Macaca mulatta: one gene and its partner. The protein of the gene in region 2 interacts with the protein of the main gene of each other region in a pairwise test. Links are inferred from orthologs where the notes say so. Each region holds a gene or a part of one and is shown on either strand. Other genes may lie near its edges. The genes, in order: TAF1D and PTN.

Region 1 (15,703 bases), on a different chromosome or scaffold from region 2:
ACACTCCCAATCTCAACTTGTATAATAAAAAAAAAAGGGGGGAAATGGTCTTATTAATGAATATAACTAGACATTAAACATAATCATATAGTACAATGTAGACTAAGATACATAAATACTTCCTCTACAGTGATTTCCAACTGTTGAAGATAAACAGCCTGCACTTGTGTGAGGATGAGGATTACCTTCTTTTTTGAAAGAAGATTCCAAAAACCAACTGAAATGTGAACATTTAAACTTTTTGAAAAGTAATCACATGTAACAACTTCAGTGAAGGTAACAGACAAAATATTGAACAAAGCAGCCAGACACAAAAGACTATATACAATATTACTTCACTTTATGCATCTCAGAAACAGGCAATGGATCAAGGCTGACTGGGAAGGTATGCAAAGGAGCCTTCTGGGATGTTGAAAATATTTTACATTTTGATCTGGATAGCAGTTACATAGGTGTAACTATTGTTAACATTCATCAAGCTATACACTTAAGATTAGTGTACTTTACTGTAGATAGTTATACCTCAATAACAACGTAAAAAAGCACAGGTATCTCAAAGTTATTAATTTAAGACCGATAATATTTCCCTCTCTCTCTTTTATATGTAGAGACGAGGTCTTTCTATATTGCCCAGGCTGGTCTCGAACTCTGGGGCTCATGTGATCTTCCTGCCTTGTGTCTCCCAAAGTGCTGGGATTACAATGAGCCATCACACCTAGCCTCAACGGTTTTTTTTTTTTTTTTGAGACAGAGTCTCACTGTGATAGCCTCACCCCGTCGCCCAGACTGGAGTGCAGTGGTGTGCAGCACGATCTTGGCTCACTCAGCCTTGATCTCCAGGCTCAAGTAATCCTCCCACCTCAACCTCCCCAGTAGCTGGGACTATAGGCGGATGTCACCATGCTTGGCTAATTTTTATAAAAATGGGGTTTTGGCTTGTCGCCCAGGCTGCTCTCAAACTCCTGGGCTCGAGAGATCTGCTCACCTTGGCCTTCCCAAATGCTGGAATTACAAGCATGAGCCACTGCCTCAGCCTATGTACTTTTAAGGATCAAAAGTTCTTACAAAATTTCTTTCTTTTTTTTTTTTTTTTTGGAGATGGAGTCTCACCCTGTCGCCCAGGCTGGAGTGCAATGGTACGATCTCGGCTTACTGCAACCTCCACCTCCCAGGTTCATGCAATTCTCCTGCCTCAGCCTCCCAAGTAGCTGGGGTTACAGGCACCCACCACCACACCAGGTATTTTTTGTATTTTTAGTAGAGACGGGGTTTCACCATGTTGGCCAGGCTGGTCTTGAACTCCTGACCTCGTGATCCACCTGCCTCGGCCTTCCAAAGTGCTGAGATTACAGGCATGAGCCACTGTACCTGGTCAATTTTTTTTTTTTTTTTTTTGAGACTGAGTCTCACGTTGTCACCTAGGCTGAAGTGCAGTGGCGCGATCTTGGCTCAACATAACTTCTGCCTCCCGGGTTCAAGTGATTCTTTGTGGCTCAGACTCCCGAATAACTGGAATTACTGGCACACACCATCACGCCCAGCTAATTTTTGTATTTTTAGTAGGGATGGGGTTTTGCCATGTTGGCCAGGCTGGTCTTGAACTCCTGACCTCAAGTGATCTGTCCACCTCGGCCTCCTAAAGTTTTGAGATTACAGGCATGAGTCACTGTACCAGGCCATAAAATTTCTACTTTTACTGAATATATCCTGCACATATAGAAGGAAAAGAGAAACAAACACAAAAGTGAAAACAGGTTCTAGAAAAGTAATAAAAGAAAAAATCTGGCCAAGCATGGTGGCTCATGCCTATAATCCCAACACTTTGGGTGGCCGAGGCAGGAGGATCAAGTGAGGTCAGGAGTTCAAGAGCATCCTGGGCAATAGAGCAAGATCCTATGTCTACAAAAAGAGAAAAGAAAAAGAAAAAATTCCTAGCTACCCTGTCATATTAGGGAAGACGGATTGATGAAAAAGAAATACAGGCCAAACAATACAGATTGTTTACTAGCTACCATTCAATTAGGGGGGGAAAAAGATTATAAGATTATTATAAGATTATAAAAAAAGTTACAACAAAGCAAAAATGAGTCTATTTCTTGACTTCGACCTTATCAGGATGACAAATGAACTACCAAAACAACACATCTTGAGAAACAAGGGAAGGTATATAGTTACCATCAGAACAGAATCTAGAGGTTGTCAAATAAAGGTTGGTATTCTGACAGACTTTACAGTTTTGGATAAGAACTATTCCTGGCTTCATTTTGTGTGCCCGTTTTTGTTTTCCTTTTTTTGCCTATGTTCCCTCCTAATTTATCTTGGGAAACTGCCTTAAATACTTGTTTGAACAAGGTGAAATATATAAAAATAAACACAGAGAGAAATCAAAGCAAGTTCACTGGCAGTCTGTCATTATCAGTGGTGTGGGGGAATTATATTGGGAATACGATTAACATACAACAGTAGAAAATACATTTAAAGAATAATGTAAGTGAAAAAAGTTAAAGCAAAATTGTGCAACTCTTTGGGCATCACACATGCTTAAGTCTTGGATTACTAATCATTTACATCTTGTAAAGTTGGTATCATCAATAATCTGTAAGTGAAAGAAAAAAGAATTTACAAATTATAATTTTAGTTTTTTTGGAGGGACAGAATTTTGGATTTTCTCAATAAAAATGGGACAGAACAGAAACTGAAATGGAAAATGAATTCCATACCAAAAGTATTATTTTGATAAGTAAGATATAGATATAGGTAAGTAGTAAGATATAGATAGATCTTAGAATCTTTTTAAAAGAATTTTCTCTTGGGATAATTTTTAAAAATCCAAAGTTAATATTGTTTTTACCTCCAGCAAGCTCTTCTAGACTTGGTACATGAAAAGAAAACTCAGCACAAGTCATTTTCTTTCTTCTTTAGGTGTGAGGTTGGACAAATAGAGTTACTCTTGGTTAATTATCACAAGAGTCCACAGTGCACCAAGTATGAACTGCTTCTGTTTTGGAAATGAACCTTTAGCATTCAAACATATAAACAGAACAAAAGGGCATTTAGGTTTCTATCTTCACAAAAAGTCAAACACAGCTTCTAGTATTTAATATTCCAAGTGAGAAACAGACAAGTGACCTTTTAATACTTATACTTTATTTTATTTTAATTTAAAATTTAAAACTAATTTTTTAATAGAAACACGATCTTGCCATGTTGCCTAGGCTGATCCTGAATTCCTGGTCTCAAGCGATCCTCCCACCTCTGCCTCCCAAAATGCTGGGATTACAAGTGTGAGTTACTGCTCCCGGCCAATTCATTTTCTTTTTTAAAATCATATAGCTGGAGTGAACATCCAATTTTCTAATGGTTGGTCTAAGGAATATAGGTCTTGAAGCAAAAGGTACTTATTAGGAGTTTATGGATAAGTGTTTAAATGGTTGTAGATAACAGTACATATAGGATTTGTACAGTACAGATAGGATCTCAAGTATTTCTATAATAGATATGTGTGTTTTCTATTCTATATTTCACATTTAGGCCAAAAATTAAATGAGCTCCTTAGACTATCATTTTGTCAAAATAAAATTTAAATTACAAATACGAATGGAAACTTTTATGGAATGATTAGCCTTTGAAATTCAAATTTTTATTTTCATTTACAAATAAATATACTTTCTTGGTAAACAGATTTAATGTTCAATTCTGATAATCTACCCAATTATAATTTGATAGTTAAATATATGCTTTTCTATCATTGCAACTAAAAAATAAAATACATACCAAGTATACTTTGTAACAAATAAGTACACATACACATAGATTATTATCTTACCTTAAGTGTTCAGTGATGAAGTGTGCAACCAGAGGGAGATAAAATGAAGGCAGGGAAAAATACAAGTAATATGAGGTAGACAGGTATCCTACTCCAGGCCAATCACAACAGGGAACACAGACAAGACTCTTAAGGGTGTTTCTAAGAGTACTGCAGGAGTTTTCATTAAAATTGTTAATAGAACACTTCATTAATCTGAGTGGCCTCTGCCCTTAATATGCCTATTTAGCAAGTGGAAAGGCGATCTTCAGTCATCTGAAATATTCTTCTAAATTTTTTTTTCTAATTTTCCAAAGAGTCGTAGGTTGTTTAGAAACTGGGTTTCTAGTTCCGGTACTTTTCAACAACATATCCTCTATAACCATTCTATTACATACCTTTAGGATGTTACATTTACTTCAGTACTTTATCAAATACCAGCTTTTATTGTTCTTGATTTAATATATGTAATCTAATCTCCCAAATATATATAACTGTTTATAAAGCGTCCCAAATCTTTTTTTTTTTTTTTTTTGAGATGGAGTCTCGCTGTCACCCAGGCTGGAGTGCACTATGGCACCATCTTGGCTCACTGCAACTTCCACCTCCCAGGTTCAAGTGATTCTCCTGTCTCAGTCTCCCTAGTGGCTGGGATTACAGGCGTGTGCCATCACGCCCGGCTAATTTTTTGTATTTTAGTAGAAACGGGGTTTCACCATGTTGCCCAGGCTAGTCTCAAACTCCTGAGCTCAAGCAAATCCACTTGCCTCGGACTCCCAAAGTGCTAGGATTACAGGCGTGAGCCACCACGCCCGGCCCCCAAATCTTACATAATCATACTTAAATTATTTTAAACAGAGTTTTGTGTGAGGAAAAGAGAGATCAGACTGTCACTGTGTCTATGCGGAAAAGGAAGACAAAAGGAACTCCATTTTGATCTGTACAAAGAAAAATTGTTCTGATTTGAGATGCTGTTAATCTGTAACTTTAGTCCCAACCCTGTGATCACAGAAACATGTGCTGTATTGAATCAAGGTTTAAGGGATTTAGGGCTGTGCAGGATGTGCCTTGTTAACAATATATTTGCAGACAGTATGCCTGGTGAAAGTCATCGCCATTCTCCATTCTCTATTAACCAGGGACATGATGCACCACGGAAAGCTGCAGGGACCTCTACCCGAGAAAGCCTGGGTATTGTCCAAGGTTTCCCCCCACTGAGACAGCCTGAGATATGGCCTCGTGGGAAGGGAAAGACCTAACCGTCCCCCAGCCCCACACCCATAAAGGATCTGTGCTGAGGAGGATTAGTAAAAGAGGAAGGCCTCTTTGCTGTTGAGATAAGAGGAAGGCCTCTGTTTCCTGCATATCCCTGGGAACGGAATGTCTCCGTGTAAAGCCGCCTATTCGTTCTATTCTGATACAGGAGAAAACCATGCTGTGGCTGGAGAGGAGATATGCTGGCAGCAATACTGCTCTGTTACTCTTTGCTACACTTAGATGTCTGGGTAAAGAGAAACATAAATCCAGCCTATGTACACGTCCAGGCACGGTACCTTCCCTTGAACGTATTTATGACGCAGATTCCTTTACTCACGTTTTCCTGCTGACCTTCTCCCCACCATCACCCTGTTGTCCTGTCATACTCCCCTTTCCGAGACAGTGAAAATAGTAATCAATAAATAGTGAGGGAACTCGGAGACCAGTGCCGGTGCCGGTCCCCTGGGCCCACTGTTCTTTCTCTATACTTTGTCTCTGTGTCTTATTTCTTTTCTCAGTCTCTTGTCCCACCTGACAAGAAATACCCACATGAGTGGAGGGGCAGGCCCCTTCAGTTTTGGGTTGAATAATTTATAATTGTTCAGGAATGAGACAGTTTAACTTTTTCTTTTAAATAATTTTAGATTAACAGATATTACATACAAATAATTCCTGTATATTCTTCACCCAGATTTCCCAAATGTTAACATTTTATCACATTCTTTATCAAACAAACATTGGGTACTTATTTATGAACACGTCAAAATCTGCACAACGAATAGTATATTCATTTATAATGATAATAAAAGCACTTTAGATATTTTTGCTGGCAGTAGGAATAAAAACACAAGTTAAAATCCAAATGTAATCTTAATTTTATTCCCTTTATTATCTCTTTTCTTTAGTAAAAAGTTAGGTCAGTTGTTTCTGTTTATTTATGCCCCTACCAAAGTAGAAACAAAGTCCAATCCTGGGAGGATGTAGCTTGAATAACTGGTTTAGAAATGTACTTATTAGGAGTCCTTACTAGGGATTTGTGGATAAGTGTTTAAATGGTTGTGGATAACAGTGCATACAGGACTCTCAAGTATTTCTATAACAGATATTTGAGCTTTCTACTCTATATTTGACATTTAGACAAAAAATTAAATGAGTTCCTTAGCCTATCACTTTTTCATAATAAAATTTAAATTATGAAGGCCCGTCCAATCCTAAAATGAGGTGAACTTCAGGCAGGGTGATGGCACTGTAGGCAGTGTGGTAGCACGTGTATGTGTGTGTTGGAGGTGGGGAGAGGGTTACAGTTGGAGCTGAGAAAGGGGTTAGGTTCTCACATAAACTCCAGGAACATAGCCTTGGGCCAGATAGAGGCAAACAATATTTTCCTACCTAATTGGTGGGAGGCGATGGCCCAGAAATAGGGTCTAGAAAGGAAATGGAGCTGCAGAGGTTAACACCTGAAGGGGTAGACCAACTATCGCAACTAAACTGGTTACCATTTGAGTGCACACTGTGTACCAGACACCATTAGACACTGTGCAGACATTCTCTCAACTTTTCACAACCATGACAGATTGTGAGACAGGTTGTGGGTCTTCAGGAGTCGCGGGCATCCCTCAGACACAGCCGCACGGCCTGCATGGAGTTCGCTCCTGCCGGCGACCACTCGCTCGGGCTCCAGCATCTGCTCACCCCTACGCACCCTCCCATAAAGGGTGGGGCGCAGCAGGCCTGAGTGAGTGGAGTTCCTAGCTTCCAGCACTCCAGTTCCCGCCTCATTCACTCGCGCGCCCCTTCCCGCGAGGAGTCGAGAGCTACGGGCTGAGAAAGGGAGACACCGCAGCCCCAAGAACCGCGAAGGGGTCTGAGAAATATCTTGCTTCAACTGCACTCCAGCCTGGGTGACAGCGCAAGACCGTCTCTATAAAACAAAGGAATATGAAATGTGGCCGGGCGCGGTGGTTCACGCCTGTACTCCCAGCACTTTGGGAGGCCGAGGCAGGTGGATCACTTGAGGTCAGGAGTTTGAGACCTGCCTGGCCAACATGGTGAAATCTAGTCTCTACTAAAAGTACAAAAATTAGCCGGGTGTGGTGGCGGGCGCCTGTAGTCCCAGCCACTTGGGAAACTGAGGTGGGTGGATCTCTTGAGCCTGGGAGGTGGGGGTTGCAGTGAGCTGAGATCCGGCCACTGCACTCCAGCCTGGGCTACAGAGCAAGACTCCGTCTCTTAAAAAAAAAAAAAAAAAAAAGAAAAAATACAAAATGAAATGTGAAATTTCAGTGATTCTGCATTAGGAGTTAATTGTTCCTTCCCTTTAATACCACTTTTCCCCTTCTTTTTGGACAAGGGACGCTGCATTTACATTTTGCATTGAGCCTCACAAATTACACAGCTAGGCTTGCTGCTGAATATGGCAGTGAAGGACATGCCATACCAGTCCTGGAGCTTAGTCACTGCCCAGCCCCTGTGGATCAAATGCAGTGTCAGACTTTTTATCCCCGAAATTGTCCAATCTATGGAGCAAAGGAGGGTAAAGAGACCAGATTACTTTTAAGGCACGCTCTATCCTAAAATGATGTAAACTATAAAATAAGATTAGACAGCTTTACTGGTTTTTGCGGTGTATCATATGAAAACAGAAGTTTGAAACCAGAAAAATCAAACCAGTTCAATCCTTTTAAAAATTTCTTTGGGAGGCCGGTGGCTCACGCCTGTAATCCCAGCACTTTGGGAGGCCGAGGCGGGTGGATCACCTGAGGTCAGGAGTTCGAGACCAGCCTGACCAACATGGAGAAACCCCGTGTCTCCTAAAAGTACAAAAAAATTAGCAGGGCATGGTGGCACATGCCTGTAATCTCAGCTACTTGGGAGGCTGAGGCAGGAGAATCGCTTGAACCCGGGAAGCGGAGGTTGCGGTGAGCCAAGATCGCGCCATTGCACTCCAGCCTGGGCAACAAGAGCGAAACTCGGTCTCAAAAAAACCCCAAAAAACCGAAAAACAAAAAAAAAACCAAAAAACTTTCGAAGAAAAAAACCCCACCAAAACTAAACTAGTTTACACAGCTTAATCTTAACTCAGGAACTGGTCAAGGAACTAATGGTGGGGGGCGGGGAGGATGTAGGAGGAAACAGGAAAAAGAAATCCTCCACAGGTCTCACTTGTGACGTGTTAGCCAATTCCTGGGAGGCAGAAAGGGTGAGCTCCCGAAACAGGTGCAAAGGTGGGGAGGAGACCTGGGCGTGCTACGGCATAACACTGGCGTCCAGCACAAAGGTTACAAACTTCGAGTAACCTTCCCGAATATTTTCACACACAAGGGTTTTGAAGGCAAAAGTAGACACAGGATGACAAAACACTCATTCACACATCCCACCCGTCACCCTCACCACATACTCTGGACCAGGTTTAGAAAGCCGGGAGACAGCTCAGCAAACGCGAGACCACCGGAAACGACCCGGGCTGAGAGGCTGTTTCCTCGCAGTTCTCATCCACTCACAATTGGCCGCACATTTTCTTTTTGTTATTTGCCGAAATGTTCTTGGCTATTCCACTTACCGAATCGGTCACGCAAGCAAAACACCAGAATCCCGATCTCCGCCTACGCCAACCCCGCCTCCTCAGAGTAAGCGAGCTACAGCTCCGCCCACGTTAGTCGCTCCTCCCTGCGCGGCGAGAAAAATGGCGCCCCCGCGTCGCGACTCCTCCCACCGCTCGCCTTCTTCCCGGGAGCTAAATTGTATCGCGAGATTTCTGCCTGACTATTACTTGGGCCGCGGGGATATCCCACCCTTTTCTTCCGCGCGGTTGGAGGACATCGGCTAGTTTTCCGGAGTTGGAGGACTGAAATCGGGAGGGTGGTGTGTGCAAATCTCCAGGACTCACGCACCAGGCCAGTCGCAGGTTTTGGCCCGAGGCCTGGGTTACGGGCAGCAAGTGCGCGGTTGGGGCCGGTGTGAGGCGGTTTTAGGTAGGTTGCCAAGAGGGCAAGGCCGTCTGGGCTTGTTGGGCAGGGGAGGCATTGCATATCTGGGGTTTCGGCCCCTGCGTTGTTCCGGAGGATTGAGCCTCGGAAGTCGGGCCGAGAGGGTGAAGGGATCACGGTTGCAGGCCACTCCGCGCCACGCGGCTGGTATGAGGCCCACAAACGTGGTTGTAGTGTGGGCGGGCTTCATTATATCTTGAGATGGAGGTGTTAAAACGTGTTGCAGACAAGTTTAACCTTCTTAACGTAATTTAAATGATTTAACCTTCATATGTGAGGTACCCATTGGTAGCGCCGGTTTCCTGGAGGTTAGGCGCTGCCCGGAGAGACGCGCTGGTGGTCACAGAATTAGCTCCGGGTAAAGCGCCGCTTTCTGCCCACGTGGCCTCTAAGAATTGCAGAATTCCAGCGGATGCATCGACACCCAAGTAGGAGTGTCTTCTAAACACTAAGAAAAAAGTGATTCTTGAGCTAGCTTTATTTTGATAATCCCTACTTTAAAAAAAAATTAGCCACAGGTATACCATTAATGCATGGGGCCAAATTTTTGTTGAATTCCGTTTTTGAGCATTCGATATATAATGACTTCGTAGAATCCTGTACTTAAGCTAATAAGACGTACTACCAGAAAATTACCACAGGGGTCCATTGGGCATTTAACAAATCTGAGCTCTTGGTAACCTTATCGTTTTATATTTTAAATGTTTTGCTAGTTCATCCTAGGATTTATATGCAATGACTCATGTTAGGTCCCAAGAAGCTACAGAATGAGACAAGAGATTGACTAAGGCAAGTACAATAGTGAAATAAGTAGTTATCCTTCATTTTTGTTGCCATGCCTATTTTTTTTTTTTTTTTTTTTCTGAGACAGGGTCTTGTTCTGTCGTCCAGGCTGGGGTGCAGTGGTGCAATCTCGGCTCACTGCAACCTCCACCTCTGCTCAAGCGATCCTCCCGAGTGGCTGGGAGCACAGGCACGGGTCACCACACCTAGGCAGTATCTTAAGAATTTTTTGTAGAGACAAGGGTCTCCTTGTGTGCTGAGGCTCACTACATACAACTTCCACCTCCCAGGCTCAGGTATTCACCTACCTCAGCCTCCTGACCACAGGCGCGCGCCACTAGCCCGGCTAATTTTTGTATTTTTTGTAGAGACGGAGTTTCACCACGTTGCCCAGGTTGGTCTTGAGCTCCTGGGCTCAAGCGATCCGCCCGCCTCGACCTCCCAAAGTGCTGTGTTACACAGGCCTGAGCCACCCAGACCAACCTGTTTTTTCTTTTAGCTCACAAGAAGGAATCTTTTTTTTCTTCTTTTTTTGGCATGTTGTATACTCTACCATGGGGATGAAAACACAAAGAATTATGATAGTTTATTGAAAAAGGTTGAGAATTCAGAACTTGTCAGTTTCCACCAATAATGGCAAAGATACAATATGACAAAGTTCAGTTACTTAAATGAATCTAGGAATGAAGAATCTAGGAATTATAATGGAGAGGTGATCAGGAGTTTAAAATGGTCTGTTGATTGGAGATCCTTTTCCTGGTTTATATAGGGCACATTTTGCCTTAGGAATTCCCTCTTTGATCTTGGAAAATGGTTTTTAATTTTACATTAATACTGTATTGGTAATTGCACGTTAGTAAGTGGCTAATGATAAAACTGTATTTTCTACTTATATTGAAAGATGCTTTTTTTGGAAGTGACAGTACTTTTTTGGAATCTTGTTCCATTGAATACATTTAGAGGGTAAAAACTGAAAGAACCTGTGAATAGAATTTCTGGATTTCTTTTTAAAGAAATTGATCTGAAATGGATAAGAAGCTTAACCCCGGCAAATGATTTTGCCTAAAATCAGTGGCATAGTCTGACCATGTTGAATACTATAGTAGATACTGTGTCAATATTTAGGGAAGCTTTGTCACATTTACTAAATTTCATAATTTCAGAAAACTGTTATAAAACAAAGCAACTGATGGATAAATCAGGAATAGATTCTACCGACCATGTGACATCTGATGCTATGGAACTTGCAAATCAAAGGTAAGTGGGTTTTTACTGGAGAACTGAGTGGATTCAATCATATTTATTGTATCTGAATTATGAGAAATTATTTTATATAATGAGTGACAGTAAAGATGATTTTCAGGAATTGGGAAAGAAGGAAAACCAGATTTCACTGACCTTCCAGGTTTATCTAGTTAATGTAGATTGATAATAGCATTGCAAATACTTTAAATTCAAAATGTGAATATATTATAATGGGACACATTCTTCAAGAAAAAAATGTATTCTTTGGGTCATATTAGCATCTCTTCCAGACTACCTCTTCCTGTTTCTGTCTGGTAGGCTGTGTTTGTTTTACTCACTCTTAGCAGTGAACGGAACCATACAGCCTTTGTGGAGCTCATACGTTATCTTGAAAGATACATAGTTTTTTTCTAAGCTGAGCACAGTGGTGCATGCCATTAGTCCTAGCTAGCTACTTGGGAGGCTGAGTCAGGAGCATCCCTGGAGTTCCAGGAGTTTGAGGTTGCAGTGAGCTGTGATTGCACCACTGTACTCCAGTCTGGGTAACAGCAAGACGATGTCTACAAAACTCTTTTTAATAAGAGCTGTAGCTTTATGAGCTATTTAAGTAGGATGGTCAGCAGAAAGGCAGCTGGTTCTGAGCCCATCCTTTAAAAAATTTTTAATTCTGGATATGTTTTCCTGAGTTGGTCTTGGAAGAAATGTATATTTGGGACTGGGTATTACTGGTAATAAGCATTCAGTAAGAAAGAGGAAATTAATTTTTTTCTCATTTTTCTAGTGATAACTCTTCTGATAGCAGCTTATTTAAAACTCAGTGTATCCCTTACTCACCTAAACGGGGGAAAAGAAACCCCATTCGAAAATTTGTTCGTACACCTGAAAGTGTTCACGCAAGTGATTCATCAAGTGACTCATCTTTTGAACCAATACCATTGACTATAAAAGCTATTTTTGAAAGATTCAAGAACAGGAAAAAGAAGTACAAAAAAAAGAAAAAGAAGAGGTACCAGCCAACAGGAAGACCAAGGGGAAGACCAGAAGGAAGGAGAAATCCTATATCCTCACTAATAGATAAAAAGAAACAATTTAGAAGCAAAGGATCTGGCTTCCCATTTTTAGAATCAGAGAATGAAAAAAACCCGCCTTGGAGAAAAATTTTAACGTTTGAGGTGAGTCAGCATTTTATATATATGGCTACACATAACTCAGATGCCCAAAATGATTTGTTGGCCAGTTTAGAATTGTCTCAGATATGCTGGGAACACACTGTCCGCAATTTCGATACTCTTCTATACTGACTTCCCCCTAAAGTCCACCCCATCCTTTAACTGAAACTTGACTTGTATCTCTTCAATTACTACACTTTGGCCAGATTTAAAAGATAGTGCTCCAAGGCTCTTTGTATAAAATGCTTTGATCTCATCCCATCTCAGGTCTTAAACACAACCCTAAAACTCAGTAGGGATAATAAAAGCTCACATGAAATTATTTTTGCAGTAACCTAAACCAAAACCACACATGCCTTATGTTCAGTGGATACATTCTTAAGGCCTAGGTATTTCTAAGCCAGTCATCTGAAAAATACCCTAATACTTAGGAGTAGACTTTTTTAAAATATTTGAGAGTTGTATGTTGAATGAATGCAGAGTTTCAGGTTCTTGCCAGAACCTGAAATTTTATCTGGGAGGATTAATACATGTTAATCTCTTCAGTTAATCTCTTAAGGTGATTATAGTAAACATTAGAAATCTTATTCCTGTTTTTACATTTTAAAATGCCTTTAGTAAGTCCCAGGCATGACAAGATATGTAGTACTTCACTTTTCCTTTGTACCAGCTTAGGTAAGTTTATAATTGTAATGTGAATTTTAATAAACAGCATTTGATATATCCACAAGTGGGGAGTAGTTAAGATAGCAAATTCAGAGTCTTTGGTAAGGGGGGTGTTGAACATTGGCACTTGCTGGGTTGTGAAAGAAAAATCTTGACATACTTACGGTGTTTTTAATATATAGCAAGCTGTTGCAAGAGGATTTTTTAACTACATTGAAAAACTGAAGTATGAACACCACCTGAAAGAATCATTGAAACAAATGGATGTTGGTGAAGATTTAGAAAATGAAGATTTTGATAGTCGTAGATACAAATTTTTGGATGATGATGGATCCATTTCTCCTATTGAGGAGTCAGCGTAAGTGGAATCATATGAAATAGGTTATAAATTAAATTTTATGTTAATTGCTTCATTTTTTGCCTTTAATATAGTTATACTTAAATAATGAACAAAGATAGAGTATGACACTTGGGATTATTACAGTTGAGCCAAGCTTAGCACACAGTACATCTAGAATTCTCTAGAACACAGCATTCTCAAATTTTGTTTGCTTGACTAGTATTGCAGTTTCAGTTTTCAGAGTGGAATACACAGCTAATGAGGTCATAGAAGATTCTGTCATCTCAATGATGATAAATTTTAATGTTACAGAGCAGAGGATGAGGATGCAAAACATCTTGAAGATAATGAATGTGATATCAAATTGGCAGTAAGTGACTTTTCTGTTCCATTTTGGGAAGGCAGGAGTTGGTTGGTACAGAAGGAATTGTATTTAGTTTTTCTCTTACACTTCATTTAACTTTTGAAAAGCTCAGTAAGTTTACTGCAGGAAATGCAGGAAGGAAAATACTAATTTTTTAGAGACTTGATAAAGAACATGGGGTTTCCAGTACTATTTTTAATAATTAGCATTCTGATACGTAATATTGCTAGTTAGGATATCAAATGAAAAAATAAGCAGATGTTAATTTAGATTTTTAACATCTACATGTAGTCTCTAGGTTATCTGAAGTAATCCAGGGCACTCAGCTATATGTAATTACTAAGCCATTTGAGTTATTGCTTAATCCATTATTTTTTTGTTTGTTTGTTTTATGCAGGGGGATAGTTTCATAGTAAGTTCTGAATTCCCTGTAAGACTGAGTGTATACTTAGAAGAAGAGGATAGTACTGAAGAAGCTGCTTTGTCTAAAAAGAGCTACAAAAGCTAAAAATACTGGACAGAGAGCCCTGAAAATGTGACAGGATCATGAATGTCAAAGGTGAAGCATATAGAAAAAACAACTTCATAGAAATGAATAAAGATGATAAATGTGGATATATATATACCAGTCTGGTGGTGAAGAAATGCTGAAACCCAGAACTTTATAACAAAAAAAATTTCAACCCTGTGAAGAAGTTTGTGAAAGAAACTTGTGAAGTAGTAGTAATTAGAAAAAAAACCCATTAAAACACCAGAGAAAATACATAGAAAAATTTGAAAAATTGTCAGTTGATTTCTGAATAAGAGCTTGCAGGTGTCCTGTGAGTATTACAACAGTGAAGTGTAGTGATTTTAATTTTGAAAAGAAAATCTTAGACAAAATAACTTGACACCCAACCATCTTCAAGAGGGTATTTGAAATGCTCTTATTCCAGCTTTGTTCAGACATGACAAAAGTGACCTCTCAGATGTTTAGTATTGTAATAACCTCATTTCCCTTCCCAAATTTAGAGTATCTTTAACACTTTTTTTCTTTTTTTTTAAAGACAGTTCTTGATCTGTCACCCAGGCTGTAGTGCAGTGGTGCAGTCTTGGCTTACTGGAGCCTCTGTCTCCCAGGTTCAAGCAATTCTGCCACAGCCTCCTGAGTAGCTGGGATTATAGGCGTTAGCCACCACACCCAGCTAATGTTTGTATTTTTAGTAGAGACAGGGTTTCACCATGGTCTTGAACTCCTGACTTCAGGCGATCTGCCTGCCTTGGCCTCCCAAAGTGCTGGGATTACAGGCGTGAGCCACGGCACCTGGACTAATATTACTTTGAACTACCATTTTCACTTTATTAGTTCAAGAAAAGGCATACACATTTATTTAACATGGACACACAGGGAGAACCACAGTGATTACCCCAATGTTCATTATTTTGATCACGATAAAGCTGACTATGTAGTGCATTTTAGGACTGCACTTAACGTATGTTTTTGTTTAATGTGGACAAAGACTTATGGATAGGTGCAAAAAATAAATCCTCTTTTGCAACCCAGAACTCATTGTTCAGTATGAGTTTTGATACATATAAGAAGGGATATTATGATACCTGAGACAGTTATAAAGGTTGGTTCCAGGCCAGGTGCAATGGCTCAAGTCTGCAGTCCCCACATTGCTTAAAACCAGGAGTTCAAGACCAGCCTGGGCATCTCCACAAAAATTGAAAAATTAGCTGGGTAATGGGGCATGTGCCTGTAGTTGGAGCTACTCAGAAAGGGGAGGTTGAGGCAAAAGGATTGAGCCCAAGAATTGGGGGCTGCACTGAACTTTGATGGCATCACTACTCCAGCCTGGGTAACAAAGACAGACACTGTCTCTTAAGAAAAAAAGGTTGATTCTAGGACTGTAGAATAGATAAACAGCATGGATATGAGGGAAATCCTCAGCAGTATTAATTTTGCATTCCAATTTCATGTTGACGATATATATGATGGCTTTTTGTTTTAAAGGCTTTTATCTTGAGAACATGATGTCTGGAGTTAAAGGTATGTCTCAATTTGAGTTGTCACATATTTATGTGTAGGAAACAGTATGTTGTCAG
Region 2 (15,705 bases):
CAGTCGAACTTACCTTCAGGCATCTGAGGCAATCTCTGGGTGTCCTGAGAAAATGACAATGACAACAGCAGGATTGGGGAACCAGAAAGGCAGAACTTGCCCCACTGACTTTATTAAGTTCAGTTCATGTTCAGTATAACAATTTGGAGCTTACAGACATTACATCGTGACCATTCACCTTTACCACCAACCTATGAGGTTGGCAAAACAAGTGACATCATCATCATTTCTCACTTACAGCTAAAAAACCTAAGATTCCAGGAGATTCAGTAACACATTCAACAGCCCATACCAAACAGCAGGTGGACTGTGGTGAGATGCTGGTTCCTGACTCCAAACCTTAACTCCTTCCCTGGACTGAAGCCTCTATCAGCAGGGGTCAGAGAGAATGTGGTTATGAGCATCACTAAGGTCAGCAATAAGGTGCCTGTCTCTTGGATTGGGAGTCTCCTATATGCAAAATGCTCTCCTAGACCTTAGGGAAAGCATAAGGTCAAAGAGTCTGTATTGGAGATTTTGCCTGCCCAACCCCCAGGCCTTGAGCATGATCACATGCTCCATGCTCCATATGTTTCCTTCCAGAAGAAAGGATTTTCAATCTGCATTTAGAAAGAAGGAAGAAAATGGTATGAGCATGTGGAGGTGCGAGATCTTTCAAGAAGCATGGAATTCCGCCTAGGATTTTGCTTGTATGTTTGTTGCAGATGCCAAGTGGGCATGAGAAAGAAAAGCAATTCAGGAGGGGGAAGAAGTGAGAACTTGCATCTGGTGCTGCTTCACCATGATCATCATTTTCACCTTCCTGCTCAAACACTCCCAGCAATCAGACTGTATGTTCAGTACTTCACATTGATTTTCTCCATTACTATTCAGATGTCAGTCCTAGAAGGTAAGTATGTGCTCCCACGTTAGAGATAAAAACATTGAAATAAGGAAGACCACAATATTTGCTCATGGTCACAGAGCTACTAAGAAGTGTAGTAATTTATACCTCAATATTTTGGACCTTGTAGCTCAAATATTGAGCCACCAAGGCTACCGTTTCTTTTTTTTTTTTTTTTTTCAGACGGAGTGTCGCTCTGTTGCCCAGGCTGGAGGGCAGTGGCGCGATCTTGACTCACTGCAAGCTCCGCCTCCCGGGTTCACGCCATTCTCCTGCCTCAGCCTCCCGAGTAGCTGGGACTACAGGCCACCACGCCCATCTAATTTTTTTCGTATTTTTTAGTAAAGACGGGATTTCACCGTGTTAGCCAGGATGGTCTTGATCTCCCGACCTCGTGATCCACCCGCCTCGGCCTCCCAAAGTGCTGGGATTACAGGCGTGAGCCACTGCGCCTGGCCAAGGCTACTTTTTCTAATGTATCATCTGTATCCACATGCCCTGTCATATGTCCAGTTTACGCTTAAGGGAACTTCAGTGAAGTCAGTAGCAAATCAGGTGGTGTCCGCAATTTTCTCAAATCCACCTCTTAAGTCAGAACCACTGAAGATGGGCTCCAGGCAGCTGGCACCTACACATGACCCTAGTTAATCTGATAAACATTGAAGACAGGCAACTGCTTCTGTAGGTTATTTGACCTCTAACTGTACATACATTGGACTTGGGGTTTGACATGAGAGACAAATGGGAGATAAAATCAATTTATTAGCCTAAGAAAGATGGCATTATATTACCGAGGAATAAACTCAAACCAGGAATTTTAAGACTTTTGTTTTCATATCTGTATGTCATTGAATGTGGCCCCCTTAACTTCTCTAAGCCTGCATTTCTGTATCAATTTTTTAAAAATCCCACTCAGTCTACCTGAGTAGAGTTACAAAAATATGATGAAAAAATAAATGTGAAACATTCTGAGAAAAAGACCTTATAGCTACATAGAAGTTATAATGAAAATAATGCTTCAAATGACTAGCTTTGTCACTTTGAATAACATGGTTTGTTAAAGAAGTGGTAAGTAAAGTTTTCTGCATTCTGGAGGTAGTCTTGAATCAGAAACTATGAAAAGTTTAAAATTATCAAGGTGAAATATGATTAGGAAGACACTCTAGAGAACTGGCAAGCCTATATGACATTTGGAATGAAGAGAGTGAAGGAAAGAGAGTGGGAGAAGTTTCTGGAGGTTCAAAGTTGAGCATGGGAATGCTTGGGCTTAAACAGGAAATAGGCACCAGGTTGTTTGGTAAGGCGAGGGGATTAGGCATAGAACACAGACGGTCAAGGTGGGTGGAACAACATGGGCAAAGAGAATGAAAGGCATTTAGAGCTGCCTATTTATTTTCTCGTTCATTTGCCATCTTCAATGGTTCTATGCTAAATATGCTAGGGTTCTTGAGAGAATGAGACACAGCCTCTGCCTTAATAGGGTACATAGGTTGGATGGGGTGGGGCTGGTGTCAAATGGTGAGAAAGGAGGAGCTGAAGTCACTATAAGGGGTGACGGTGACGGGGAGACTTTGAAGAAAAGAGAAGGGGAGAAATACAGCTCCACCTAGAGGGGCATTTGCCTTGGAAAACCTTTGGTGCCTTCAATTTCTGACTCAAGATTTCATCCAAATTCCACAGCTGAAGTACAAGGATTTGCCTTCTTTTCCTTCATGTATATGTTTTCATTAAAGGACACTCTTCTCGTCTGGTATAAATTTTCCTGAAAATGACATCTACAGTGAGTGCCATGTCTTAAAAATTGTATTGATTCTAAATAAAACTCAGTCTGAATTCTTAAGATGGCACTTCCAATAATTTGTTTCTGCTACGTTATGTGGCAAATGTGAAATGAAAACACGAAGGAATTAAGAGTTCAATTTATCTTCCAGAATAAACAGCATTAAAGGAATTAACAGACGTAATGCTTTTGAAATAGATGTTGGGTACCATTTAGCCTTTTGTGAGCTCCCCTTTCCTTTTTCTCATAAAAATGTGATCCCTTTGACATTGGAACTGCTTAGGGCAACAGTTGTACATATCTTATTCTAACTTGTGTTGTAGTAATTAGTGTTTTAATATTCTTACATATATATTGAGTAGATCATTAGCTGCTTGAAGACATATTTATTTGTCCTGTGTCCCTCATCACACCACCTACCATAGAGTACAGCAGTCACTATCCATAAAAGTCTGGTAGGGATAAAAATAAAATAACAAGAAGTCCTTTACTTCAATCTCCTCCTCAAAATAGAATTGTGCCCGAATGATTTCCTTCAGTATTCATTGAAAAAATATTAAAAATGTGAGTCTAGAGCTCATTACAGAGAATCTTCCTCCAATTCTCTTCAGATTTGAGAATTTTCCTTGTGAAAGAGTTAAAGCTCGAAGAACAGTTGTGACAATACTGAAGCATTTGGAGAGGAGAGAGGAAGGCGGGGAACTGAAATATTTGGAAATAAATGTACACATTTGGAAGACGAGGGAAAAAAAAAGCAAAACAAAAGGTGAAAAAAGGAGTGCCCAAAGAAATTAGGAAAATATTAAGATAATAACATATCAAGGAGGTTATGAGATAATCATAAAAGGTTGGGGTTAGCAACCTGTGACTTTTAAAGCATCTTTTCCAGAGATGGGTGAGGGCATAATGGATTTTAATTGAGATCTCCTTTAAATACATTTCTAATAAAGAATTTCACAAGTTCACACCACTTACCAAACACAAAGTATTAGATATTGTCGAACCATAGAGACAGACACCATGTTCTATTTCTTAAACATGCTACATTGTCCAGCACAATGTAGTATTAGGCATCCAACATACATACAATAAATATTGTTAAACTGGCTGGCCATAGGAGCAAGAAAAATTGTATTGTTGGATTAGGACCCCAAGAGGATGTGATGGAGATGAGTAACTCTAGCTGCACCGCTACATTGATACTGGGAAGCTGAGAAGAGAATGAGGTCAACACATTGCAGCAATGAAAATGTTGGCTGACCCTTAGCCAGGGTCTTGAGTCAAAAAAGAAAAGGGGAAAATACCACTGAATCAGTAGAGAGGGCATTGAAAACACCAGCTAGGAAGGTCCAAGTTGAAAACACCAGCTAGGAAGGTCCAAGTTTCCAAGAATGCCAACATATGGACAAACATTGCTGGTACATCTGTACATAGAGAAATGTATGCCATCATAGCAAGAGGGAATTGGGCAAGACGTTCTGGGACCTGTTGGGTGGGAAATAGTGGCAACAGAATTAATAGAGAAATGAGAGAAAGGAGGAGAAATAGGTCAACATAAAAGCAGGAAGAAAAGGGAGCAAAGGGTTAGAGACCCAGAATGCTATTTGTGTTTTAAAATGATGTTTTGGCTTTTGCTAAAAGCAATTCTTAGAATTAAGAGCCCAATTATCAGTTACTATGACTTACTTCTTTCAAGATTAATATATAGAAATTGATTTTTTGTTACACCATGTGTGAAGTGAAAAAAAATCTAAGAATTCTATTTTTAGAAAACTGGATATGATGTTTTTTCTATTTGAGATATCACTTTATCTAAACCACTATGAAAAAAAAGGTTCAATAAATAAAGCCTAGAAAAAGGAATTAAATTTTATTTCTAAAAATATCTCAAACATGAAGGAGTCATTGTATTCCTTGTCCACCCTGAAGAAATAGGGATTTGTGGTGAATGTGATCTACATAATTAAGTCCACAATATTACCATGTTTATAATACCCTCTGATAATGTTTCAGCATAGCTACCCTTTTAAGCTACTGTTTTAATCTCTTATTTATTAAATGCCAAAATAGAAAAAAAAAGAGGCTTGTTATATTTTACAATCTAGAAATATTTTAATGACACCATGAAATCTATGCCGCACACTAGACTGGCTTGAAGTGGATGGAAAAATTGCCCAGTGGGTGGAAACTTGAATTGTCCATAAACATCAGACGGAAAGACAACTTTCCATGAGGCCATGGCCCAAATTCCACTTAAGCCAATTGACTCTGAATGGAAAAAAGCAAGCCTAGCTCATAAAAAAAGGTTCATATCTGAGTATCATTTTACCTCCCCTCCCACAGCAGTGATATGACCTTGTGCCAGAAGGAGACAAAATCTCTTCGATTATTCATTTAGAAAAGAAGCCAGAGGAAAAAACATTCCTCACCCTTGTGAAGAAGCCCAACTCAACATCATTAGCAAAGCCATGGAACAAAGGCCATTGGAGGGCTCCCACTCAGCCTCATGCTCCAGAGAAAAGCACATCTCAAACTGGGCCGAGTTGCACTCAGGTGTGGAGGACGTTTGCACTCATCACATTGGGTGGTTTCAGTCTGGACACCTCCTTCCGGAGAGAAGTCAGGAACAACTTCCCATATCATTATGCTGCCATATTAAAAGGCATAATCGTTTAGAGAAGTAGAATTTTTATTCCAAATTTAGACTTCAGGCCTTCAATCTATTGTTAATTTATCACACCATTTTCAACGAGCCAGGTAAACTCAGTTTTGTGGGAAAGTTTTGAATAGTAATTAAAAACACCACATCACAATGGGAAGATGATCAGAATTCATGTGAGAATGTCATATAAGTGAGAAAGCAAGAATATCTTCAAAGGAAAAATAAAATATTTGAAGTTAAAATATTTGATATCTAAGATTGATTTTATTTTATAAAAATGATTCAACTATCTGGGGATCTTATTTCTCTCTGTTGTTTTCAACAACTAGGTTTTATGAAATTTTAAACCAGGCCATTGATTTGACTGAAATTTTAAAAACAATGAAAATGCAGATCTTGTTATGTGTTGCTATAAGTGAAGCCAAAATAAGGCACATGGAAAATATCAATAAATTAATAAGTTTATTATTCCAAATCTCATGATCTCATGGAAAGAGGTCTAAAAAACAGAGAATTATATATAATACATTAGACTATAAGTACAGTTAGGTATACCTTATTACTCTAATTCTCTACAATATCTCATTTAAAGTCAGATAATTAAAAAGTCATATATTTAATAGGGCTTTTATTTATCTCAAGCTCTAGCTTTGAGAACATAATGCATTTGCATCCAGAAGCAAACAGCTGGAACACAGCACCTAATGCTGTTATATGTGGCTTCAGGTGGGAGTTCCTTATAGTGACTTTTCACTAAATGCAGAAAAAGATGTCCTAAAGGGAACCAGTGAGCAGTGGCAGAGAAAAGATCACCTTCTATGTATTTAAAGTACAATTAGAGAACTTAAGGCCCAAGTTTCTTAAAGCACAAAAGAATGGTATTAGAGTTGTTCTTTTTTTAAATAATACAATTTTTTAAAATCTCACCTTCTAATTTAAATGAAAGAGTACAAATATTGCCAGTCTGAAATAACTCATGTCCCAAAGGAAGCAAAGAAATTCAAATTTCCTCTGAATTTAACTGGACTATATTTTTTAAATGACTTGGCCTTTAAAGTGCATAATTTACTTAAAAGGAAACATAACGAAGATGGAAAACACAGCTTTATTTTCTGCACTGGGAGACTTCTGTTTTGTTTCATTGTCATTACCTTTTAATATTCCTACATATCAACGCATTCCCAGATAATTAAGGGGCTAACATGGGCCCTGCTGTTTCATCAATTCCACATTTGCCTACGATCATAAAATTGCTTCATTATGTTATTAGTTCAAAAGTTCTTTTTGGTAATTCCTGAATCTCCTCCCGTACCCCTCTCTCCAGCACACACACACACACACACACACACGCACATGCACACATCACCCCTTTCTCAGGCTGCTAAAGCAAAATGCCTGGTGACTCTTAACATGAGAAATGTTCAAGGACTGGAGCTTTAATGTTCTCTCCTCTTAGGACCCCTATCCCTCCTATTTTCTGAATGTGTCCCCAAACTTACAAAGCAGCTCTTAATAGACACAAGGGTGAGTTAACACTAGAGTGTATATAAATTGCATGTATGTGTTCCTGTGTGTGTGTGTTGTGTTATGTCATGGAGAAAGGGGTGTGTGTGTGTATGGAGAGGAGAGAGAAGGCTTCACTTTACATCTATTAAGTAAGAAAGGAGTTGAATATATTCCTCCCAAAAAATATTTTCTTAACTTATTAGAAACAACAACTCAGAAACTCTAAAAATCTAGTAAATTAGTAACAAATATATCCTAAATTTATGTGGGTCAAATTAAAAGTTTAATGGGTCTATGTACAGGGCAGTTCTTTAAATTTGCATTCAAACGAGAGACGGGACTCCAGATGTGTCTTCTAAACTTCGGTTCTAACCATTTCTGGAACCATTCCTGGGCTGTCAGGTGGGAAGACGGGTGCCACTAGTGCTGTGAGAGAGGTTCCATGTCAGCGAGCACTGGGAGGAACAAACCCGCAGCGCTTACCTAGAAATGCCAGCTAAGAGTCATGGGCTGGCGGGCCCTGGGGCAATCAGAGAATCAGAGAGAGGTTGGGAAAATGAGAGCTGCTTGTTCAGGCTGCCGTACTTTCTCTCCAACTACTCAGCCAGAGACACACCTACTAAAGCTCCAGGTTTTACGAAAAGCAAAGGTGCACTCTCCAGCCCACCGCTGGAACACGGTCCAAATGCACGCTTAACATCACAAAAACTTCTTTCCTTTCACTTACCTAAGCACACCCTAACTAACCTAACCTGAAACCCCCAAAATACGCCTCCCTTGGCCTCTGGAGCAAGTCAGTTTTGAAAGCAGTCCTATCAGCAAAGACACCGGGCAGCCTCTCTCACTCCTACCACCATCATGTGTTGGTACCCAGAAAAGTGGCACAAGGTGAAGGCAAACTCGATCGAAGAGCCCTCCGAGAAATCGCACATTCCTCTCACTTACTTTGAGTTGCAAACGTCCCCTCTGGCGCTCAGTCTGCCTTTGTTGCAAGGGGCGAGGTTGCTACGGCTGAGTCCAGGTACCCGGCTCGCTGCAGCTCCTGCTTGGTCTGCTGCTGCTCTCCCCGCCTTCTGGACGGATGACTCACTGGTCTCTTTCTTCCCCTCTCTCCACTTTGGATTTTCCTCTGCTCTGGGGCTCTCTTGGCGGGATTTTTGGACTGGAAGGCGGGGAACCTGATCCTGCCTTTGACTCAATTACGCCCTGACAGGGAGGGAACGGAAGGGAAATGGAGAATGGGAGGGATGAGAGGAGCGGGCCAGGAGGACGCAGGCTGGGCGAGGGAGGGAGAGCGTTTTGCACTCGAGAGCTGATTGGGAAGCTTATTAAAAGCAGAATACTCCAGGGGCAGTCTCTCCCCGCGGAGCAAGAAAGAAAACGGATTTGAACCAAGAGGCCATGAGATGGTACCTTGTTTTGTTTCTAGCAGAGACCAAACACAACATTTCTTTTCCAAACTCCACCCATGATCTATTCTTCAGATGAGTGCAAAGCCACTTTGCCAAATAGAATATTTTAAATGGACAATTGATGGCATTTTAGGTTACAGTTTTGGCCCCCCACAATCCTTTAATGATATTCAGGATGAAAAAGCACTCTCTTCGAACCAGCCTCTTCTTCCACCCACGAAAGCCCTCCCTATACACAGAGGCAGTTACCCAGCTGTCAGTCACATCTCACCTGCAAAGCACAAAATGTACAAAGTACTTTTTCTCAATTGTCACAGAGTGACAGACGTCTGAAAGTTCCCAATTAAGTGCTACTTACCTTTAGGGAGAGCTCTTTCCTTTTTTGGTTTCCTTGGCACGTTTAGCAACCTATTCAGTAACATGCCTTTGACACCCAAGAATTTAGAGGATTCGTCAATGTAGCTCAAACTCTGAGGTTTGTAAAACTTGGAGGCTGGACTTTGCATCTCTCTGGAATTTTCATTTCATTCAATTGAGGAAAGATGCTAAGGCAATGCATAGGTAAATATTTATGATATAGATGAGATAAAAGTATTGTGTAAAAGGATTAAGACGTATTACACAAATTCACCCAAACATTTTAAAAATGTAAATTTTGAGATTTTCTGCCACTTATCAGCTTTTCCTGCTCCTTGGTTAGTTCCTTTTACCTACTTTTACTGCTCAGCTTATCATTTGATGGCATCCATCCCAAATTGCTTGTAAAAGAGACTCGCATTTTTCATAGTTCTGAGGTTACATCCGTTCATTTCAATTTGACAAATATTTATTAAGCAACGTATTTACTTAGAACTATCCTTAAACCCCCAAACTAGAAGCATTGTCTTGTGGCAAGTAGTTTTTAGGGACTTGGGGCTCTTATATTGACTGCTACCTGTAGAAATGTCCCTTGGAGAAGTTAGCTGGAACCAAAGAGGTGGCTCTACAAACTCAATCAAGCAGTCAGTCAAGCTTTTCAAAAGGAACAGCATCAGAGATGCACTTACACACATACAGTTTATCCCCCTTCCCAAACCCTTCATACACATACCACATACAATTCTCAAATGAAATAACTAAATAAGGAAGCTGTGTTCCTTTCTTCTATACACAGGCTTCAGGTTACCTATTTTCCTTTTGTGATTCCACTTCCGTGTGAAGAAAGCATTGTTTGTTTTAATCGGATTTCACCTGTATAAAGTGTGGCAGAATGCACATTGTCATTTTTATAAGTATTTTGCCCAGTCCCTTTACAGAAAAAGATGTCTCAGCATTCTATTAACACTCCACAGGGGCAAAGTTTCTAAGGCATTGAACAAAGAGCTATTCATTTTCTTTCTGTTCTTCAGCTTTAACATATGTAACATACGTACATACAAATGTATATACTATATATATATACACAAATGTAACATACAGCTAGCTACCAGTTAGGTGAACAATGCTGGCTTGATTGAGGTGCTCTCTATAGGGTTGATAAAGTAAGCAGGAGAGTCCTATGATTTCTACTCAATTACATATGTTATATCAAAAATATCACCCTTTATTCAGATAGGTGTATACTAAAATTGCATACATCAGTGATTATCAATTGGGAGCAATTTTGCCCTCCAGGAAAAGTGAATAATGTCTGGAGATAGTCTTGGTTGTCGCAAATTGGGGGAAGAGGTTGCTCTGGCATCTAGTGGGTAGAAGCTGGGGATGCTGTTAAACATCATACAATGCATAGTTAAACATCATACAATGCCTACTCCATAGGCAAAGCTGCCCCAGTGGCTGCTGGCTATCCACCTTTATGGTCATTTCCTGATTGTATGCTAAACAAGGGGTAGTTTATTCATGAATTTTCCTGGAAAGAGGTAGGCAGCTCCCAGAACTGAGGGTTCCTCCCCTTTTTAGACCATATATGGTAACTTCCTGACATTGCCATGGCATTTGTAAACTGTCCTGGTGCTGGTGGGAGTGACTTTTGGCATGCTAATGTGTTATAATTAGCATATAATGAGCAGTGAGGACAACCAGAGATCACTCTCCTGGCCATCTTTGTTTTGGTGGGCTTTGGCTGCCTTCTTTACAACAAGCTGTTTTATCAGCAAGTTCCTTATGACCTGTATCTTGTGCCAACCTCCTATCTCATCCTGTGACTTAGAATGCCTAACCTCCTGGCAATGAAGCCCAGTAGGTATCAGCCTTATTTTAACCAGCTCCTATTCAAGATGGAGTTGCTCTAGTTCAACCGCCTCTGACACCTCCACAACAAAGAATTATTTGGCCCAAAATGTTAACAGGGTTGAAGTTAAGAAAACCTAATGTTATTCGCCACGGTATTTTAAAAATGCAAAGACAGATTAAAGAGAGTTTGTGTTTTTTTAATAAATAGAAATTTATGAGATTGGGATTAGTCATAATTTAATTCAATCCAGCATTTTCATGAAAGTTGAAGTAGAATATGTTTTTTTAATACACAGTGAAATACTCAATTTCAAATCCAAATTTCATTCTAGGGCATAGTCTAGGGTCTATTGATTCCAGAGTCCAAGTTATTTCATTCATTAGGCTAATATCCTTTAAGCACTTAAGTCTTTAGCTTAATAGAACCATGAAGAAAAACTGTTGACAATCCCTACTCTCAGATAGCCTATGTTGTTGTTCTTTCTTTTTTTTTTTTTTTTTTTTTGAGATGGAGTTTCACTCTTGTTGCCCAGGCTGGAGCGCAATGGCGTGATCTTGGCTCACCCAGGTTCAAGCAATTCTCTTGCTACAGGCTCCCGAGTAGCTGGGATTACAGGCATGTGCCACCACGCTTGGCTAATTTTGTATTTTTAGTAGAGATGGGGTTTCTCCATGTTGGTCAGGCTGGTCTCAAACTCCTGACCTCAGGTGATCCACCCACCTTGGCCTCACAAAATGCTGGGATTATAGGCGTGCACCACCGCATCCAGCCCTATGTTTCTATTCTTAATGAGTCAATTAAAATTTTTTAATAGATGTGATAAGTAACATGAAAAAATAAGGCAATGATGGAAGATAAAGTGTCAATTTGGGGGAGAAAATCTCATTGGGATGATATTTGACAGAAGACTTAGAAGAATTGAGGATGCTGGCCAAGTAAATATTTGGGGGAAGAGCTTGTAGGCAAAGGCATCAACAAAGGCAAAGACTCTGATGTCTGACCTTGCCCCAAGTTTTTTGGGGAAGAAAAGGAGGCCACCGTGGCAGGAACTCAGTGAGAGGAGGCAGGCATTAAGGAAAGTAATGGGCCAGATCACCTATGACCTTTGTCCACTGTAAGGAATTTCATTTTTGCTCTGAATGAGGTGGGAAGCCATGAAGAGTGACTAAACCTGACTCTGGTTTAAAACGTCCTCTCTGCTGTGTTGAATAGAGCACAGGAGGATGAGGCTGGAAGCAGACAGCCCAGTAGGAGGCTACTGCACTAACCCACTCCTCAAAAGTCTTCCCCTTGTTCCTGTTTCTTGTGCAAAATAATCAACTCCAAACTTGCTCTTTAGTACTTTCTCTGCCTACACAAGCTCCTGTCAGCAGTATCTTCGGCTTGCTAATGTCAGTTCTCAGCCTCTCCAGGTGTAATGAACATGCCCCTTGCATGAGTGTTACCAGGCCAAAATATAACTAATGCAAGGTGATTTGAAATCACAGAAATTATAACATGTCCCAAGGGTATTTTGAAAATGAGGCTGCTGATTTTGCAGTGGCAAATGCAAGGAGCAGTGTGATCAACATGAAGTTAAAAAAGGTGAAGGAACCTGATGAAAAATTTGCCAGCTTGTCTCTTTGATTGCCTACTTGACAAGATGTTTAGAATTCTTGATTGCCACTCCAGGTTCTTCAGTATCCCTAGAATGTAAAAGGACAATTCATCAAACTTTCACAGCATTCTAGAAGCCCCATTAATACATCTCTCTCCCTCTCTCTGAAATATTTGAAAGGTAATAAAAACAAATCTTTTACTTTGTTTTTTATTGATGTGGCAAGATTACAAAATTTACTTCTATATTAGATACATTTTTATAATAATTATGATTTTTCATTAAAAAACATAAAGCAAACAACAATGGCTTAGAAATTCTAGGAATTTATCTCACAAACAACACAAGTGGATAGTCAATGCTTCAAAGTCTTCAAGAACTGAAGTCTTTCTATCTTTTGACTCGGCATTTTCAAATTTGCAGCCCAATGCTCTTCAATATGATTTTAAGGAGCTCCAATCATATTTGGCTTAAAAAGTTTAAAATAGACCCAAATTCTAGTGCAGAGTAGGTCAGCTTCTCTAGTCACATAGCCACACAGGCTATGTCAGCACAAGGAAGAGGCAAACAGAATTTGGGAAGCAAACAAAGCTTGCTACAATTTCTCCCTAAAAAGTTATAAATTTGGACTTTATCAGTGTCTTATGAATCTAAGCAGCTTGACTTAAGACCCTCAATCTTGTCTTTTTTGCCAAGAACTGCTAAAATCAAGGTTCTGAAAGAGGAGGTCTTGGACAATGACCTCACTCAGACTTACACAGAAAACTAGACCTGAAATGTCAAAAGAAGTTTGATCATACATTACAAGAAAACCAAATATACAGAGCAAAATATAAAATGAACATGGATGCAAAAGTCTTTAACGAATATCATCATATCAATGTGATTAATGTATAAAAAGTGTAATACTATGCATCATATTGGATATTTATTTCAGGAGTGCAAGTTTGGTTTTACATGTAAAAAGTAAAATTCATATTTAAAGATTAAGCAGGGGGAAAAGGGAATACATTAATATATATAGGAAAAGCATCTGACAAAATTCAACATCCATTCATAATTTAAAATTCATTAACTTAAGAATATGAATGACTACTCTTATTCTGATAAGAGATGTCCACAGAAAGCTAAAGGATACTTAATAGGGAAAGTAAATACTTTCCACCTAAAATCAAGAACAAGGCAAGAATTGCCACTCTTACCATTTTTATTCTATATTAAATGAGAAATATTAGCCAATAAAATAAGTCCAGAAAAAGAAAAAAACATGAAAAGGAGGGGCATGGTTCACTTTATTTTCAGATAACTTGAGTATATACGTAGACATTGATCAAAAATGCACAGAAAAGCTTCTAGAACTAATTTGTGACTTCACTTGGATACAAGTCAATACTATAAAGATCAATTTTATTTCTAATGATGAACAATTATCAAAATATGAAATATTTGGTGGTTTATGCCTGTAATCCCAGCACTTTGGGGGGCCGAGGTGGGCAGACCATGAGGCCAAGAGATCGAGACCATCCTGGCCAACATGGTGAAACCCCATCTCTACTAAAAATACAAAAATTAGCTGGGCGTGGTGGCACCTGCCTGTAATCCCAGCTACTCGGGAGGCTGAGGCAGGAGAATCGATTGAACCTGGGAGGCAGAGGTTGCAGTGAGGTGAGATCACACCACTGCACTCCAGTCTGGCAACAGAGTGAGGCTCTGTCGAACAAAAGAGAGAGAGAGAGAAAGAAAAGAAGGAAAGAAGGAAAGAAGAAGGAAAGAAGGAAAGAGAAGGAAGGAAGGAAGGAAGGAAGGAAGGAAGGAAGGAAGGAAGGAAGGAAGGAAGGAAGGAAGGAAAGAAGGAAAGAAGGAAAGAAGGAAGGAAGGAAGGAAGGAAAGAAAGAAAAGAAAGAAAGAAAGAAAGAAAGAAAGAAAGAAAGAAAGAAAGAAAGAAAGAAAGAAAGAAAGAAAGAAAGAAAGAAAAGAAAAGAAAAGAAAGAAGGAAGGAAGGAAGGAAGGAAAGAAGGAAAGAAAGAGAAAGAAAGAAAAAGAAAAAGAGAAAGAGAAAGAAAGAAAGAAAGAGAAAGAGAGAAAGAGAGAGACACTTAGGGATAACTTTAGCAAAATATTTTCAAGCCTTATTCATTGAAAACCACAGAACATTTCTGAGATAACTTATAAAACACCTAAATAGAGAGATTCATCATGTTCAGCAATTTGAAAATTTAAGATTGTTATGACATACATTCTTTGTCTATTTATCTATAAATATCATTAAAGCCAAATCCCAATAAGTGCCTTTATAGAAATTGACAATCTAAAACCAAAGTTTATACGGAAGTGCAAAGGACATAGACTAGGCAAACAATTTTTGAAATTAAAAAAAAGATAGAGGACTCTACTTGGTCTCACTATAAACCTACAATAATCAAGATTATTATACAGTACTGGCATAAAGATAGACTTACAGAACAATAGGAAACAATGGTCAGTTCACAAATAGAAATAAACATTTTTCAATGGGGAAAGGATAGGTTGTCCAGCAAATGATGCTGAAAGAACTGGATATCCATATGGAAAGACATAAACTCTGAGATCATAGAGAAAAATTAACTCAAAATGAATTAAAGGGCTAAACATAAAAGCAAATGCTATGACATTTCTACAATGTAATAAGAGAAAATCTTTGTTATTTTGGGGTAGGCAAAGATTTCTCAGCTAGCATGTAAAAATTACAAACTGTTATTAAAATATTGATAAATTAGGCTTCATCAAAATTAAAATTTTACTCTTTGAAAGCCATCATTAAACATAATAGGCCAGGCACAGTGGCTCACACCTGTAATCCCAGCACTCTGGGAGTCCAAGGCGGGAAGATCACTTGAGGCTGAGAACTGGAGACCAGCCTGGGCAACACAGCGAGACCTCATCTCTACAAAAAATAATTTTTTGAAAAAATTAGCTGAGTGTTGTGGTACATGCCTATAGTCCAAGCTGCTAGGAAGGGTGAGGTGGGGGGGTCAGTTGAGCCAAGGAGTTCAAAGCTGTAGTGAGCTATGATCACACCACTGCACTCCAATCTGAGGGACAAAGTAAGACTTCGTGTCAAGAAAAAAGAAAGAAAGAAAGGAAGGAAGGAGCGAAGGAAGGAAGGAAGAAAGGAAGGAAGGAGGGAAGGAAGGAGGGAGGGAGGGAAGGAAGGAAGGAGGGAGGGAGGGAGGGAGGGAGGGAGGGAGGGAGGAAGGAAGGAAGGAAGGAAGGAAGGAAGGAAGGAAGGAAGGAAGGAAGGAAGGAAGGAAGGAAGGAAGGGACATTAATTAATAATCATAATAAGGCAATCCAGAGAATGCAAGTATTCTCGTAATACATGTCTGACAAAGCTAACCGAGTAATCAGAAACCAATCAATCCAACAAAAAATAGGCAAAAGACCTCAATAGACACTTTGCAAAAGAAAATATATAAATGCCAATAAGCATATGAGAAATGGATACCTTCATTTGCCCTGTCAAAGAAAAGCAAACTAAAACTTCAATGAGCTGCCACCTACACACCTACCCAAAGAGCTAAAATTAAAAGGGCTGGAAATCCCAAGTGTTGGTAGGAATGTAAAATAGTACAACCACTTCGGAAAACCATTTGACAGCTTCTTATAAATTAAAC

Evidence for each region.
Region 1: the proteins of PTN (region 2) and TAF1D interact in a two-hybrid assay, tested with the Homo sapiens proteins (2 studies listed by BioGRID and IntAct). The link is inferred for Macaca mulatta from reciprocal best matches to the Homo sapiens genes PTN and TAF1D.

Annotation. Positions count from the first base shown.
Region 1 is NC_133419.1:94,576,228-94,591,930, reverse strand, and holds TAF1D (TATA box-binding protein-associated factor RNA polymerase I subunit D), read left to right. Parts: upstream 1-8,802; 5' UTR 8,803-9,033; intron 9,034-10,994; 5' UTR 10,995-11,020; coding exon 11,021-11,088; intron 11,089-11,857; coding exon 11,858-12,248; intron 12,249-13,093; coding exon 13,094-13,269; intron 13,270-13,479; coding exon of another isoform or gene 13,480-13,510; exon of another isoform or gene 13,511-13,563; coding exon 13,564-13,621; intron 13,622-14,012; coding exon 14,013-14,123; coding exon of another isoform or gene 14,124-14,154; 3' UTR 14,155-15,322; downstream 15,323-15,703. Other genes in the region: C14H11orf54 (ester hydrolase C11orf54 homolog), read right to left, coding at 2,852-2,906. UniProt on the Homo sapiens protein: Component of the transcription factor SL1/TIF-IB complex, which is involved in the assembly of the PIC (preinitiation complex) during RNA polymerase I-dependent transcription.
Region 2 is NC_133408.1:177,159,187-177,174,891, forward strand, and holds the start of PTN (pleiotrophin precursor), read right to left. Parts: upstream 9,725-15,705; 5' UTR 9,710-9,724; intron 8,072-9,709; exon of another isoform or gene 7,843-8,071; 5' UTR 7,777-7,842; intron 1-7,776.